Linked DNA regions of Lonchura striata. The protein of the gene in region 1 interacts with the protein of each later gene in a biochemical or structural test. Links are inferred from orthologs where the notes say so. Each region holds a gene or a part of one and is shown in the gene's direction. Other genes may lie near its edges.

Region 1 (6,908 bases):
GGGGAGGACATTAGTCCAAAATCCCCATTAGCAATGCAAAACAGATTCTAGTACATCTTGTCACAAAATTAGCCATATTATTTGTTCTACCCAGTTTCAAGTTGCAGACTAGCTTCTCTTGGGTGTTCAGTCTGGCAAGAATCTCCAGCAGGAGAGAATCTGATAAAGAGACCAAAAAAGGCCAAAATGACCTCATAGTATGTGATGACTCTATGTGAAAATCCTAGTCTGTATATTCATCATCTGCTTCTGAAAAAGAAAAAAAAAAAAAAGAAAAGAAAAAAAGGGGAAAAAGTATATGAGACTGAAAGGCATAGATGTCTGATTGAAATGGTTGTTTTACACATTTGTCTGTTTTCCAACACAGTTTACCAAGTCTGCAAATATTTGTGCTGTCCCACTGCATAGGTGGTTGAGGATTTAAATAAGCTGCTGGAGGCAAGGGATGATTTCTGTGGCAGTTCTGTCTTAAATGTGTATGAAAACACAGCCTCAGAGAGTGAGCCCAGCAGTAAAGTATCCTTCCCTTCCTTTCTGTTGAATACTATGTAAGGAATTGAATACTGTGGAAGGATTCATCTGTAATTCGCAATTTTGTATGATTATAGGTTAATCTAATCTTAACTAGGAATTATTTCCAAACCTTTATATCAATTTTAGATAAGTTTCTAGGATCTCAAACACAGGATTTATAATCTTTCCTGATAGAAAACATGAAAGGAGCTTTTAGAGAGTAATAATATTTAAGCTCTTCTGTTTTCTTTATTTTCATGTCTTGGAAATTATATTTTCAAGGTTTTCTCTATAACCAACAGGATTAAAAACCTGCTTTAAACAAAACACACTTCGATTTTGTCATAAAGGTATGATTACAAGCGCTTTAAGAGAACACACAGAGGATACAATGAATCTCATGAGGAAGAAGACTGTGAGAGTTTGGCTTTGTGCATTTTGTCAGGCTTCCAACACTACCAAGACAAACAGATCCTAGCCCAAGACAGGAGAAGTGCGGATGTTCACACAGTGAGCTCTTGCTTCCTTAAGATACCTGCTTAAGACCTGGGCAGGTTTCCAGATCCTGATGTTTACTGAGAACTCCCTCTCTGTGCTTTTGGGGCAATACAGAAGAGTGTCAAACAAAAGGAGGAAAGGGAGTCAGAATCTTATCTGTGGGCATGCAAGCACTTTCAAGCATTGTGGGGATAAGAGCCAGTCCATACAGAGACACAGCCCATGCAGGTGCTTTGCCCACCTGCCTGAGAATGGCATCACTGTCCCCCTGGGAAGGACAACAGAGATCTGAAAGCCTCCTTGTGAGGCTGCATGTGCCCAGAAGTCATCAATGGAGCAAGTCTCTTTCACCAAATACCTTAGACTATAACCTTTACAAAGAAAATGTTTTATTTTTCAGTTATCTACATACCACTCTTTGAGACCACAAAACTCTGTATTAGACTGTAATTAGATATATTTCACAACACCCCCATGAGGCAAATCACTGATTACAGCAGTTTTTTGAAATTAAGATGAGTGTAGTCATGGTTGGTAGTGACTATGATACTATTGCAATCTTGTATTACTACACTTCGGTCTATGACTGTATCAAATCTCAGAAGCCAAGAGGGTTGGGTCTGGCTGGCAGATGAGTAGAGAATGAAGAATTGAAAGACGCATTTGCGATTTCTTAAGAAGTTATGTGCTTATAGAAGTCATATTAATTTGCTCAGGCATAAGTACTCTGGGGCTTTGGTGTCAGGAGACACCCTAGAGCTTGAGAGGTTGTGTTATGACAGAGAAATAAAATCTATGGCTTCTCCTGATCAGCTGTAGTCATACAAAAATCCTGTATTTTCATAGGACTGATAATTTTGCAGGACAAGTATGGTATTTTAATTTTTAACAAAAATGCTTTTTATTCCTTCTATTTATTTTTTTAATGGATGCACAGAAAGAGGAGCCTGGTAGCCTAAAGGCTGCAGAACTTTGCTACTCTGTATGAAATACACAGGGGTGTTGGAGGACTCTTAGACTTTCAGAGAGTGAGCAAGAAGAGGTGAGGGTGTATCAGACTCCTGCATTCGCAAACAGTCTCAGACTGTCCTAGCTGGACACACCATGTGTAATGGTTTAAGACAAAACTTGGGAGGAAAGAGCTGGTGCACAGAGGATTAGATGAAGATCAGCAAACCAGTGCTCAAGAAACCCAGGAAATGGCTCATAGAGAAAATCCACTTTTCAACTGAGATGTAAAGCTGTCCTTGGTGGTGTTGAGGGTAGCTATTGACTTGAACTGTAGCTTCAAAAGCTCAGAGCAGGCTTCACTACTGCCCAGGTATATGGTTTTGCAGCACAGATGACGCCAAAAAGGGTGTCAGTCACCCCTCCTCTTTAGCAACCATTTATGAGCAATTGCTTCCACTTCCTCCTTTCTGCTGTTCTCAGGGCCCTGAGCTGGACAAGCCTTTCAACCTGCACAACTGGCACAGCACTGCTCTGCTACATTTCCTGGTTCTCATCTCTTCTATTCCTACAGCAGGAATGCCATCCTCTTCTTAACACAAAATGTCCCAGAAGTTTTGTTAGTGGGTATGAACTATGTGTAGGTGACCAAGTGCTGGCAGCATGGGTGGTCTCTGTGAGGAAAAAGGGCTGTCCCACACCGGACACAGCCACTTCCAGACACCTCCAACAGACCCACCATGGGGAATGGCTGAGCCTCAACAGTAACACCGGTGGCACCCCTGGGAAAACATTTTTAAGGAAGGGCTACACCACTATGTACCAGTGAGAGAGAGAGAGAGGAGAGAGAAGAAAAAAGTGGGGGAATACCATTGTGAACATCAAGGTCAAAAAAAGGAGGGGATGGAGGTGCTGCAGGTGCTGGAGCAAGAATTTCCCTGTAGCCCATGTAAAAGACCACAGTGGGTGCAAATATCCGCAGCGTGGCCCATGAGGGAACCCACAAGAGAGCAAGTGGATACTTTCTGAAGAAACTGAACAAAACATCATAGACAATTTTGAAGAGAAAATCTCGGGGAAAATGTTTTTGACTGGTCAGACAGTCTGATAAAAAGAGTGTGAGTTTTTCTTCTGGGGTAAAAAACAAAGCCAAAACAAAACAAAAAACCAAAACAAAAAACAAAAACAAACAAAAAAAAACCCACCAAAAAAACAACCGCTAAAGAAAACCAAGCCAAACAACAAACTCACAAACGACAACCCAACATAGGAAGCCCGACTATTTGCAAAAGGAGGCACAAAGCAGCAGAACGCTGTGGGTTCTCATGCCGCCACTTGCTGCTTCTGCTGCTCTGAAACACTTGCAAGAAGCCGGGTCTTCTGGGGCAGCGCTGCCAGGGAAGCGAGCACGGCGGTGGCACGCGTCCCGAGGGGACCGCGCCGGTGTATCCATAGGAAAAGGACGTGATGCAGGATTAGCCGGTTTGTATTTACACCCCGTACAGGGCGTTTTGCCTCCGACTTCCACAGCTGAACCCGCACATGGCTCCGGCGGGGCACAGGTTTCACCTCGGTAGAGCGCTGGGTTCACGGCCAGCCGCCGCCTCTTCCGAGCCGCTCCCGCGGGACGGGCGGGAGCGAACCCTCCCCGGGGCGGGGGAGCGATGCGGATCACGACAAACCGCGGGACAAACCGCGGGACAAACCGCGGGACAAACCGACTGCCCCGCTTGCCCCCGGCCTCTCAGCCCCGCGGCGCCGCCTCGCCGCTGCCAGGCACCGCCCCGTCCAGGCGCCTCCGCCGGCCGGAGGCGATGGCTGGAGCGGGACGGGGCGGGGAAGGGGAAGGGAAAGGCGAGGGGAAATGTCGCGGTCGCTACGGGAGACGGGAGCAAACCGGAAGCCGGCGGGGCGGGGCGGTGCGGCGCTGGCGAGCCCTTCCCCGCCGCCAGCCTCTCCCCGCCGGGCGGCGGCGGCAGCGCCATGGGGTGCTTCTTCTCCCGCCGCAGGAAGCCGGCCCAGGGCGGGCGGCAGCCGCAGCCAGCGGGAGCCGGGCAGGACGCGGGCACCGGCGAGCAGAAGGCGCCGCAGTACAGCTGGGACCTGCGAGCCAAGGTACCGCCCCGGCGGCTGCCAAGGGCTGGGGCTGGGGCTATCGCTGTCGCCTCTCTCAGTGGGCAGCATCTCGCTCTCCTGCCCTCCGGGCTCTGCGGCGGGGTGTGTGCACCGGCAGGGAGCACGCCTTCCCCGTCCCGCTGTTACGGCTCGGTCCGTGCAGTTCAGTGCGTTTATCTGAACAATTAAAAAGTGTTTAGCCTAAGGATTTTACCGGGCAGTCTCAAATTGTGTAAGCGGAGAGGGCGGCGCGCTGGGTGCCGCGGGTGCGGGCGGTGCGAGCATCGGTCCCCGGTGCGGGGCTGCTCCGGAGGGGGCTGGGGCTGCCTCCCGGTGGGACGGCGCCCTGTGGGCAGGCAGCTTGGCTGTGACAGTCCCCACGGGTGTCTGCTTGCTTCCTGATACAGCGCGGAGTCCCCTGGGTGCGTGCTTCACTCGAGAAAACCGGGATTAATGGCTGGGGAGCTGCTTGTGCCCGGGCGAGACCCTGCACCGGGCATGGAACGGAGGCATAAAACTCGTGCCGTGTGTCCTGACTGTCTATATTGATTCTTCCTGCTTCGCTGTTTGCGCTGCAGGTTTGGTTGGTTGGGTTTTTTTAAGACTTTGGGGTGGTTTTTGTTTGTTTGTTTGTTTGGGGTTTTTCTTTTGCGTGTGGTTGTGTTTTTTTTTTTTTTTTTTTTTTTGAGGAAGTAGAACCAGTTTATTAGCCCCTAAAAAGACAGAGGAAGTCAAATCCTTTCCCGTGCTGTTTCCAGAGCTCCAGGAGACAGTCACGAAGACTCAAGCGGGAAAGCATTTAAATGCTGGATAAAATGTATTTCATCCTAGCCTCATTTCAAATATCGCTTCTTAAATATGTAATGACATTGTAACCCTACTAGGCCTCTCTTCCTCTCCTCTCTGGCTACCTTCGGGTGGGAGAGGCAAAAACTGGGCAGGCGAAAAACATAATTAATGTGATTTCAACAAATAAAATCCTCAAACCTTTAGGCCATATTTTACAAGTATGTAAAAGAAAATGTGTGAACTTATTTGAATGTTTAGCTTGCTTGTTTTTTAAACTTGGCCAGGTGCTCTAGGGTGGCCCTTAAGTCTTTCAAGTAGATTAAGACAAGCTTAGATGGAGATGAGCTAGAGAGTGTGCGTGTGGCCTGGAGGAATTGGCTCCTTGATGATAAAGATGAGGAATCTGTGTTGGGCTTATTGCTTTGACTGGATAGCAGATATTTAGGGAGCAGACGGAGAAAGATAGGATAACAGCCTGTCACTTGTATGGAGACTACTCTCACAGTGGGAGTGGCTGTAGTGAAGCCATATTTTAGTGAGAGAACAAAACTATATCTAGAAGTAAATTACCAAATCAGCCTTTGGAATACTATTTTTTAATTTTAGAGCAAATTTACTGGCTAAAGCTCAACAGAATTTTTACCCCTTCTACTTATATAAAGCTAACTTTGAAAACTAAAAGAAGGAAAGTCAGGATATATAAAGACTTGATTCAGAGAATAGCCGGCCTTGTTGCTAAGGAAATGTTTGTTGTTAACTTGCTGGAAGTAGGCTCAAGCTAACATATGAGACTGTTACAGCACCAACAATCTATCTTTGTGGAGTAAAAAAACCACGGTCATGTATTGCATGTAAAACTTCCTCGTTTTCTGTAAAAGACTCTTAGAAACCAGAAGAATCAGTGAGTTTGGGCTGTGCTAGTGAACTGTGTAAACCATCAAATTAGCTTCTTAGTGTTGTACTGTACAGCCTAAAAATGGCTGTTTAATGTCCAAGTTAATTTCCCTTGCTCTTTGCATCCTTATTTTTCATTGGGCTTTTTAGATGTAAGAGTAATACATTAAACTAGGAAAGCACCCAGAGTTATCTTATCTTAGGTGAAGGAGTACTGAACACTTGGTGCACTAAACTTGTTGATCCCAGTTTGTATTAGGTGACACCTTGTCAGTGTTAATGTAGTAGCTTTAAATGTTGTCTGTGATACCTTGTCCTGTTGTCTATTGCTTTCTCATTTCTGATGCTTCATATATACTTATTTATTTCACAAGTTTGTGCTTGTACACAAAGTTAAATTGAAGTAAGTAGGAAAAGAGTCAATCAAGACTCCTTTTTGTTCATCAAGTGCATTGAATCATATTCTAAATGCTGAAAACCTCAATTCTGTCAACAGATGTGCTAGGTTTTCTTTTGATGTTTATTTCCACTGTTTGGGTTGGGGATGTGTTTCTGATTTTAGGCTCTACTACTTTGTGATGCAGTTGTGGTTATATAGTTCAGTTTCACAGGCAGGTTTGGTAATTGTCTGTAGTTTTTGTAAACTATGCTCTGTATATTCTTACAGGTATCTTGCTGCTCAGACACTCCAACTGTCTTCCTGTAAACTAATGCCATCCTGACACGGCAGAAAAATGTAGGCACACTTGTGTGCATATTTGTGTGATTAGGGATGTGTAGCAGGGGGAACCTGAGGGGTTCCTCTAACAAAACTACTTCTGCTGCTTCTGAAGGACATCATTGCTAGTTGAGCCTATTTTAATCATGTTTTGATGGCAAAAAATGGTTAGTTTTGATACTGTCTGCTAGTGTAGCCCTAGACAAAGAGTAATATGATGATATTACAGTGACCATGTAACCTGTGTAATAGTCCCAAAAACAGACCATGTGGTAAAAAATTCTAAATAGAAAATATTATAAGATGCTGATAGCTAAAGTGAAATTAAGGAAAGTATATGAACTTGAGGAACCTTTTCAGATTTCTGTGTGACTTTATTAAGTGAGGACAGAAGTTTTAATGTATACAAAATGTAATCAAATTTAGATTACAT
Region 2 (7,221 bases), on another chromosome or scaffold:
TGCCATGGTGATCCTGGAGAGCACAACCTGCGCAATGCCCTTCACTGCTGCCCTCTGCAAGCAAAATCAGCAGGTGAGCCCCGGCAGCGCCGTGCCCCAGCCCAAATCCCCATCCTCAGACTCACCCTGGAGCAGCCGAGCTCATTGTTGTTCTCATCTGTCACTGTGATCCCGTTGATGATCTCCCTGAAGGGGACAGGCAGCCGTGAGTGGGGGACAGGATGGCCGGGAAAGCATAGGGACACAGTAACGGGGTGAGGGGGTGCCAGGGGAGTCCTTTTTACACAGTAGCCCCGGATGCCCCCAGGGCACGGGGCTCCAGCACCCCGGGGCACCACGGTCCCCAGCCCAGCCGATGCTGCCATCTTCAGGGCACAGCTGCGAGCAGGATCTGGCCATGCTAGGGACAGACACAGCTGAGCCAGGGCACAGTCCCTCACGCAGTACCTGAGCTCCTTGTGCTGTGATAACCAAGCAGCAGGCACAGGTCACAACAAAGACCCCAACTGGGGTGTCCCAGCATCAAGATATAATGGACTGGGGTTCTCCCATGACATGCAGGAGATCTTTGGGTTTGAGAGATCTTCCAGCACGGATTCCAGAGCAGCTATCCTCAGCCGAAAATCCCCCTCCTGGGTGGAGGCTGAACCATCCCACCCAGCACCCTGCACCACAGATACAGCACTGCAAATGCACAGACCCCAGTTCATCTCTCTCCAGCTCTCAAGAGGGGAATCCAAGGCAGGGAGGGCAGGCAGCCCAGGAGCTTGGCTGCCACCAGTTTGCCTTTGGAGGGAGCTGGGTCCCTCAAGCCCCCCAGCCACATGTGACACTTACTGTTGCCGCATCATGGGGATATTGACACAATTGGCAGCAGCCACAGCTGCAAAGGGGACCCAGCGGGCCAGCAAGGGTGGGGCTCGCTGTGAGAAACAGGTTGGCATCAGCACGGGAGAGCAGGATGTGCCCAGCTGCCCCACCTGGCCCTAGCCTGGCATACCTTGGTGTAGAGGTTGAGTCCCACTGCAGTGGCCAGGGCTGCACCAGTGGCCGTGACATAAGCCACCCCAATTTGCCTGGACAGCAATTTCAAAGAAGAGAGATAACAGAATCACCAACTCGGACTCAGCCCTGTTCCTTCTGTGCCCAAGACACAGCACAGAGGGTCTTTATAGGGCATCCAGGGGTGCATCAAATGGACACACTCCACCCTGTTGGGCTGCTCACCTCAGAGAGATGGGGGAGGCAGCGTTGCGGTTGGTGTAGTTGACAAAGGCATTGAAAGACTGGTTCACCCACTGCCAGAAAACCACGGCAGGCACTGTCCTGTGGAGGGAAGGGATGGGAGAGCACCTGAGGGCTGTCAGGGACACCTGGCCTGTGCCTGTGGCCAGGCTTGGCAGGGAGACAGCCAGGATGCCTGCAATCCACTCATCATGATGTCTCCAAAGGGAAACTGAGGAACTGTGGCAAAGTGACAAGCTAGTGGCAGAGCTGGGAAATGATCCCAGGAGTTCTGGTTACCCTGGGGACCATAGGAAGAGGAGGGCCCAGTCCTGCAAGGCACTTGGGCAGGGGTGGGAGACAGCTCTCAGCAGGGTGGCAGCCATCCTCTGCTGGGCTGAGATAAGCCTTTGTCAAAGCAAGCAGCAAGGCGCAGACACACAGGGACAGAAGTGGCTCTGGGGAATGAGGGTGCCTGGGTTTCTGTTGGTGTCTCAGGGACACTGACGTGGGGCAGGAAGGGACACAGGGAGCACGCTTTGGAATGCAGGGGAGTAGAGAAGGGAAATGCAGGGAGCTGTCAGCAGGGGCTGGGGATGCTGAAGCAGCCTGGCCTAGGGGCACATTTGTTCCTCAGTTTCAAAGACTGCTATGGGCCACAGACCAAGCGCAGCAGCCAAGCAGGATTTGGTTGCATTAATCATTACAGGGGCTATGGGAAGATGTCAGCTGAGCTCAGGGTGAGGTGAGACCATACCCAGCCATGCCATGGGCCAGAGGAATCTGTGATGCTTCTACCACAGGCTGGGTGCTGAGGACAGATCCCAGAGACATTGGGCTTGACCATGGGACACAGGCAAACACAGCAGCCATGGGCATGCCTTAGGCAGCACCCAGCCCCATAGAGGCAGGCTGGCTCTGCTCTGGCCATCAGGGACCTCGAGAGGGGCTAGGGGCTGTCAGGGCTGTCCCCAGGAGCTCACCGATAGAACTGGAGCATGCAGCCAGTGATGGCCATGCCCCCTGGCACCTGGAAGGACATCCTCCCAATGAGGTTCATCTTCTCACCGCTGTCAGGGTGGAAGGCTGAGTCGTACAGCTTCTTGGCATAGAGCAGCTGCTCCTGGCTGCTTCCTGGTGGCACCAACCCAGCCCTGCAAACCCAAAGCTCATCAGGGGAAGTTGCACAGACCTGCCAGCACCCAGCACTGCTGAGGCACAGAGCTCTGGGCACCACATGAAAGGCAGAGGAAACATCTCCAGAGAAGGATGCATGTCACAGCTTGAAGCTCCTGGGAGAAGCCTGGGAAACGCCCCCAAAACTACCTCCAACAGATGTTACATCACTGCACACCTGCTTGAGAATGACTCCATCCCCCTGCAACACTGCACAGTGGTTGGCATGGCCATGAGCACAGGGACAGCACCTCCCCCATCTGTATCCCTGCCTCTCACCTGCAGCCCTCCACCAGGGCCTTGGCCTGGTCCAGCTCCTCCTCTGGCACCAGCACTGTCCGAGGGTCGGTGATGTTGAGGAAGTGCTTCAGGCGGCCCACAAAGGTGCTCTGGTCCCAGCGTGGGGAGTCAATGTTGAAGCTAAGAGAAACTGTGGCCATCTTGGCGTAGGTCTGGGCAGGGAAAAAGGCCGCTCAGTAGGATCCTTTCTTGCTTGCTCATTGAGTGCACACCTGCCACAGCCACAGGAGCAGCTGGATGAGAGCCATGGCAGGTTTATGTTTAACAGGACAACTGGACTTTCAGCAGCCCTGAGCCAGGAGGCCCCTGCACTCCTGCTGTCAGCAGAACACTGCAGTCAGGCCACTCCTTCACACATCATCCTGCTTGCCTGGGGTCACCCCATTTGTGCTGCACCCCATAGCACCTCGCACCCCCTCCTTGGGGTGATATGGTGCTGTACAGCACTGTAGGGACCAGCTCAACCCTCCACAAGGCTGCCTTGCAGGCACTCCTACAGGGGCACTACTCTGCAGCCCCCGAGTATGCACAGCACCTCACACTGTGCTGTGCCTGCCACAGCACCATCCTGCACATCCCTCTAATGCTGCTCTGCACTGCCATGGCACTGCCCTGCATGCTCCCCGGGGTGCTGCGCCACATGCCCACAGTTGCACAGCACAGAATCACAGAATGAATTAGGCAGGGAAATACTTCTGAGATCATCTGGGCCCAGCCTATGACCAAACATCACCATGTCAACTACAGCATGGCTAACCTAGCCTAACCCTAGCCAAGTGCCATGTTCAGTCTTTCCTTAAACACCTCCAGGGACTGTGACTTCACCATCTCCTTCGGCTGTCCTTTTCAGTATCTAATCACGCTTCTGTAAAGGAATTCTTACTAATGTCCAGCCTGAACCTCTCCTGGCACAGCTTCAGACTGTATCCTCTCTCCTGTCGCTGGTTGCCTGGGAGAAGGGGCCCATTCCCACCTAGCTACAACCTCATTTAAAAGGTAGCTGTAGACAGCGATAAGGTCTCCGTGAGCCTCTTCTCCAGGTTAAACGCTCCCAGCTCCCTCAGCCACTCCTAAGACTTGAGCTCCAGACCCTTCGCCAATTTCCTTGCCCTTCTCTGTAAGGCACAGCAAAGCTCGGCACACCCCAGACTCGGCCCGGTATGGCACAGCCCCGGCACTCCTCCAGCGCGGCTGGGTCACGGCTTATGTCGGCCCGGCACGGCACGGCTCGGCACGGCACGGCCCGGCACGGCTCGGCACGGCACGGCCCGGCCCGGCACGGCACGGCCCGGCACGGCTCGGCACGGCACGGCACGGCTCGGCACGGCACGCCCCCGCCCCAGCCCGGCCCGCCGCGCCCCCACGTGTCCCCACCTGCGCTCCCAGGCCCCGCTCCCGCCTCCCGCCCCCGCGCTCCGCCGCGTGGCCGCCCTCAGCCAATCACAGAGCTCCGAGCGGCCGCGCCCACCTCTCCCGGCAGGGCCGGCCTCGTACGCACGCGCCGTTAGGGGGCGTGGCCCGGCGCTGGCCCCGCCCCCGGCGCGGGCACGTCGGCGCGCGGTGGGTGTGACGCAGTTGCCCATGGTAACCCCGGGCCGCGCCGAGGATGGTGAGCGGGGCGGGGGCCGGCGGGGCCGGGCCGGGCCGGGCTGGGCTGGGCCGGGCCGGGCTGGGCTGGGCTGAGCTGAGGTGAGGGCCGGGGCCAGCGCGGCCGGGGGTGCCTGAGGCCGTGGATGATCCCCCCGCGGAGCGTGGGGTGATGGGGGCTGCAGGGTCTGTCGGGCCCGGCCGGGCTCGTGGCAGGCACGGGCAGGCCTTGGGCCGTGAGAGGGGGTGCCAAGGCGATGGAACCAGGGCGGCCGAGCCAGGCTCTACTTGGTGCTGTCGGGCACTGGGGTAAGAGGTAACGGACAGAAACTGATGCACAGGAAATTCCACCTGAATACAAGAAAGAACTTTGCTGTGCGGGTGACCACACATTGGAACAGATTGCACAGAGAGTTTGTGGAGTCTCCCTCACTGGAGATATCCCAGAACCATCTGGACGCGATCCTGTGCCACGTGTTAAAGGATGACCACGCCTGAGTGGGACGTTGGAGCAGATGACCGACTGTGGTCCCTTGCAGCCTGACCCATCCTGTGACACCCACCCAGGGACCCTGGCTGGCCCGGGGTCCGAGTGCCCACCTGGGGCATCCAGCCAGGCATGGGGGCCTGGGGCTGTGCGGGTGCAGGCACCCGTAGAAAGGGATGAGAACAGTGCAAGTTTGGGGAAGACCCTGGCTGGGGTTGGGGCCCTGGCAACACACAGATGTTATGGGGAACATAAAAAAGGGGGTTGAGTCCGAAAAAAGGCAACAGAACTGGTGAAGGGCCTGGAGCACAAGTCCTGTGAGGAGTGGCTGAAGGAGCTGGGATTGTGTAGTGTGAAGAGGAGGAAACCCAGGGGTGACCTTATCCCTCTTCAGCTACCCAAAGGGAGGTCATAGACAGGTGAGGATTGGCCTCTTCTCCCATGTAGAAGTGACCCAAGTGACAGGACAGGGGAAAATAGCCTCGAGCTGTGCTGGGGAGATTCAGACTGGACATTAGGATGAATTTCTTCACAGAAAGGGTGATTGAACATTGTAAAGCACTGGCCAGGGAGGTGGTTCAATCACCATCCCTGGAAGGGTTTAGGGAGATTGGAAAGGTTGTACATGGCACTTGGTGCCATGCTCTAGTTGACATGTAAGTGTTCAGTCATAGGTTGGACTTGGTGATCTCAGAGGTGTTTTACAATCTAATTGATTTTGTGATTTTGTGAATCAGGTCTAGACAGAGGCCGGGAAGATGCTATGGGGGCTCTTTGTTGGGATGGAATCAGCATGCCTGGAGCTGATTCAGTCAAGGTGTAGAAGGTGTGATGCAGAGGTGGGTGCTTGGGAGGGCTGGGGACCAGGATGGCAGTGTCCTGAAGAGGGAAGGAGCAATGGAAGACCTTGGCAATTATGGAAGGCAGCGCTCAGAGATTGTCTGTGAAAAGTCTGGGAGCAGCTGTGACTCTAAAGGGACACTGGACAGCCCAGCCAAGATGGGAGGAGGCCACCGTGGGACTTGAATCCTGGCTGTAGAAATTGAGGGAGCTAGAGGACAGCTTGCTGAGGTGGAAGGGATGGTTTTTAATACACAGCCTGAGAAAGGGAGTTCAATCATGGCAGAGAGAGACTGGATGAAGGGGTTAGGTGTTCAGAGATGGCCAGGACAAAGTGCTCAGAGGCTGAAAGAAAACTGCCAGTTGGATGGGATGGACCGTCTGGTGAGTCAGTGGGAAAAAAACAGTCAATGTTTGGCTGGCTAGGATAGTTTGCTGGGATGTTGTGTGCTCTGGGTTTTCTGCCATGGGCTGGCAAGATGAGGGACAGTCTAGGTTCAAAAGAAGAAATAAGAATAAACTGTAGGAAAGATTGGAAGTGGAGTTTTGATGTTGATGAAAGAAAGAAAGATCCCAGGGAGAAAAGAAGTGTTGGGTGATAGAAATAAATTGTTTGAGAGGTAGTAGCATGGAATGAAGGAAAAAACTGTGTGTCTTGGGTGGAGGGCAATGCTGGGAGACAGGTGAGGTGGTGAGGGTGTAGTGCAGTCTAAATTGAGGTTGGAGGAAGGTTGGAAGATAGACCAGGGTCATCCAGGTGTTGGAAACAATTTGGGTTTAGATGCCAAAGTAGTTGGGGTGGAACAAGTGGGATGCTGGCAAAGTGCAGCGAGGACTAGAAGGAGGGGTTGGAACTATGGGTGAGGGGTGGTGAGAGAGAGCTGCTGTGGATGTGGAGCCACTCATGAGGATGCTGCATGAAGAGCGAGCACAAGCAGAAGGCAATAGCAATAGGGAAGGATATTTCCCAAGGGCAAAGCTTTATTTTGTCCAGGAGCCCTCTGGACATAAGTTGGATTCATGCAAGTAGCGGGATTCATGCATGGGAGGAGGTGTAAGCAAGAGCACCAAAGGCAGCTTCTCATCTTCACTGGGTTAATTCTGGCTGCATCCCTACCTGCTGGGTCACAGAGAAGAAGATTGAGATAAAGCCTGTGGGATCTGCTCTATTTTAGATGAGTTGGTGATGGGGCATGTCACACCAGGCACCAAAGTCATCACAGGATGGGCATCTGCTATAAAGATGAGGCAGCTGCCTCCAGCAGTGCAGTGTTTTGTGAGACACATTTGGCTTGCAGCTGCCAGATCTACTCTTCTGCCTTATGATGTCCTGATAAGCTGGTGTAGTCTGGGATCTGGCTGCTCTTATCCAGGCACTTTGTGTGCAGAGAGGGTGACTGGGTGTTCACCAGTGTTCGTGTTATTTGATACAACATTTTACTGCCTCTTTTTCTATTTTCCATTTCTTGGAGTTGTTTTTTGAATTATAACCACTCAGACTCTAGGGTGGGTGGCACTTTGGGGTGCCTGGTGGGCTGGCTGGACTGGATAGAGGACTGGAGAGCAATGCACTATCTCTCTAGATTCTCATCTTTCACTAAAACAGA

Evidence for each region. The genes of interacting proteins can lie anywhere in the genome.
Region 2: the proteins of RP2 (region 1) and ARL3 form a complex in vitro, tested with the Homo sapiens proteins (2 studies listed by BioGRID). The link is inferred for Lonchura striata from reciprocal best matches to the Homo sapiens genes RP2 and ARL3.

The regions. Positions count from the first base shown.
Region 1 is NC_134604.1:84,238,184-84,245,091, reverse strand, and holds the start of RP2 (protein XRP2), read left to right. Parts: upstream 1-3,894; 5' UTR 3,895-3,942; coding exon 3,943-4,074; intron 4,075-6,908. UniProt on the Homo sapiens protein: Acts as a GTPase-activating protein (GAP) involved in trafficking between the Golgi and the ciliary membrane.
Region 2 is NC_134609.1:20,183,883-20,191,103, reverse strand, and holds the start of ARL3 (ADP-ribosylation factor-like protein 3), read left to right. Parts: upstream 1-4,211; 5' UTR 4,212-4,306; coding exon 4,307-4,309; intron 4,310-7,221. Other genes in the region: SFXN2 (sideroflexin-2), read right to left, coding at 1-54, 126-186, 838-923, 1,001-1,076, 1,228-1,326, 2,208-2,378, 2,680-2,840. UniProt on the Homo sapiens protein: Small GTP-binding protein which cycles between an inactive GDP-bound and an active GTP-bound form, and the rate of cycling is regulated by guanine nucleotide exchange factors (GEF) and GTPase-activating proteins (GAP).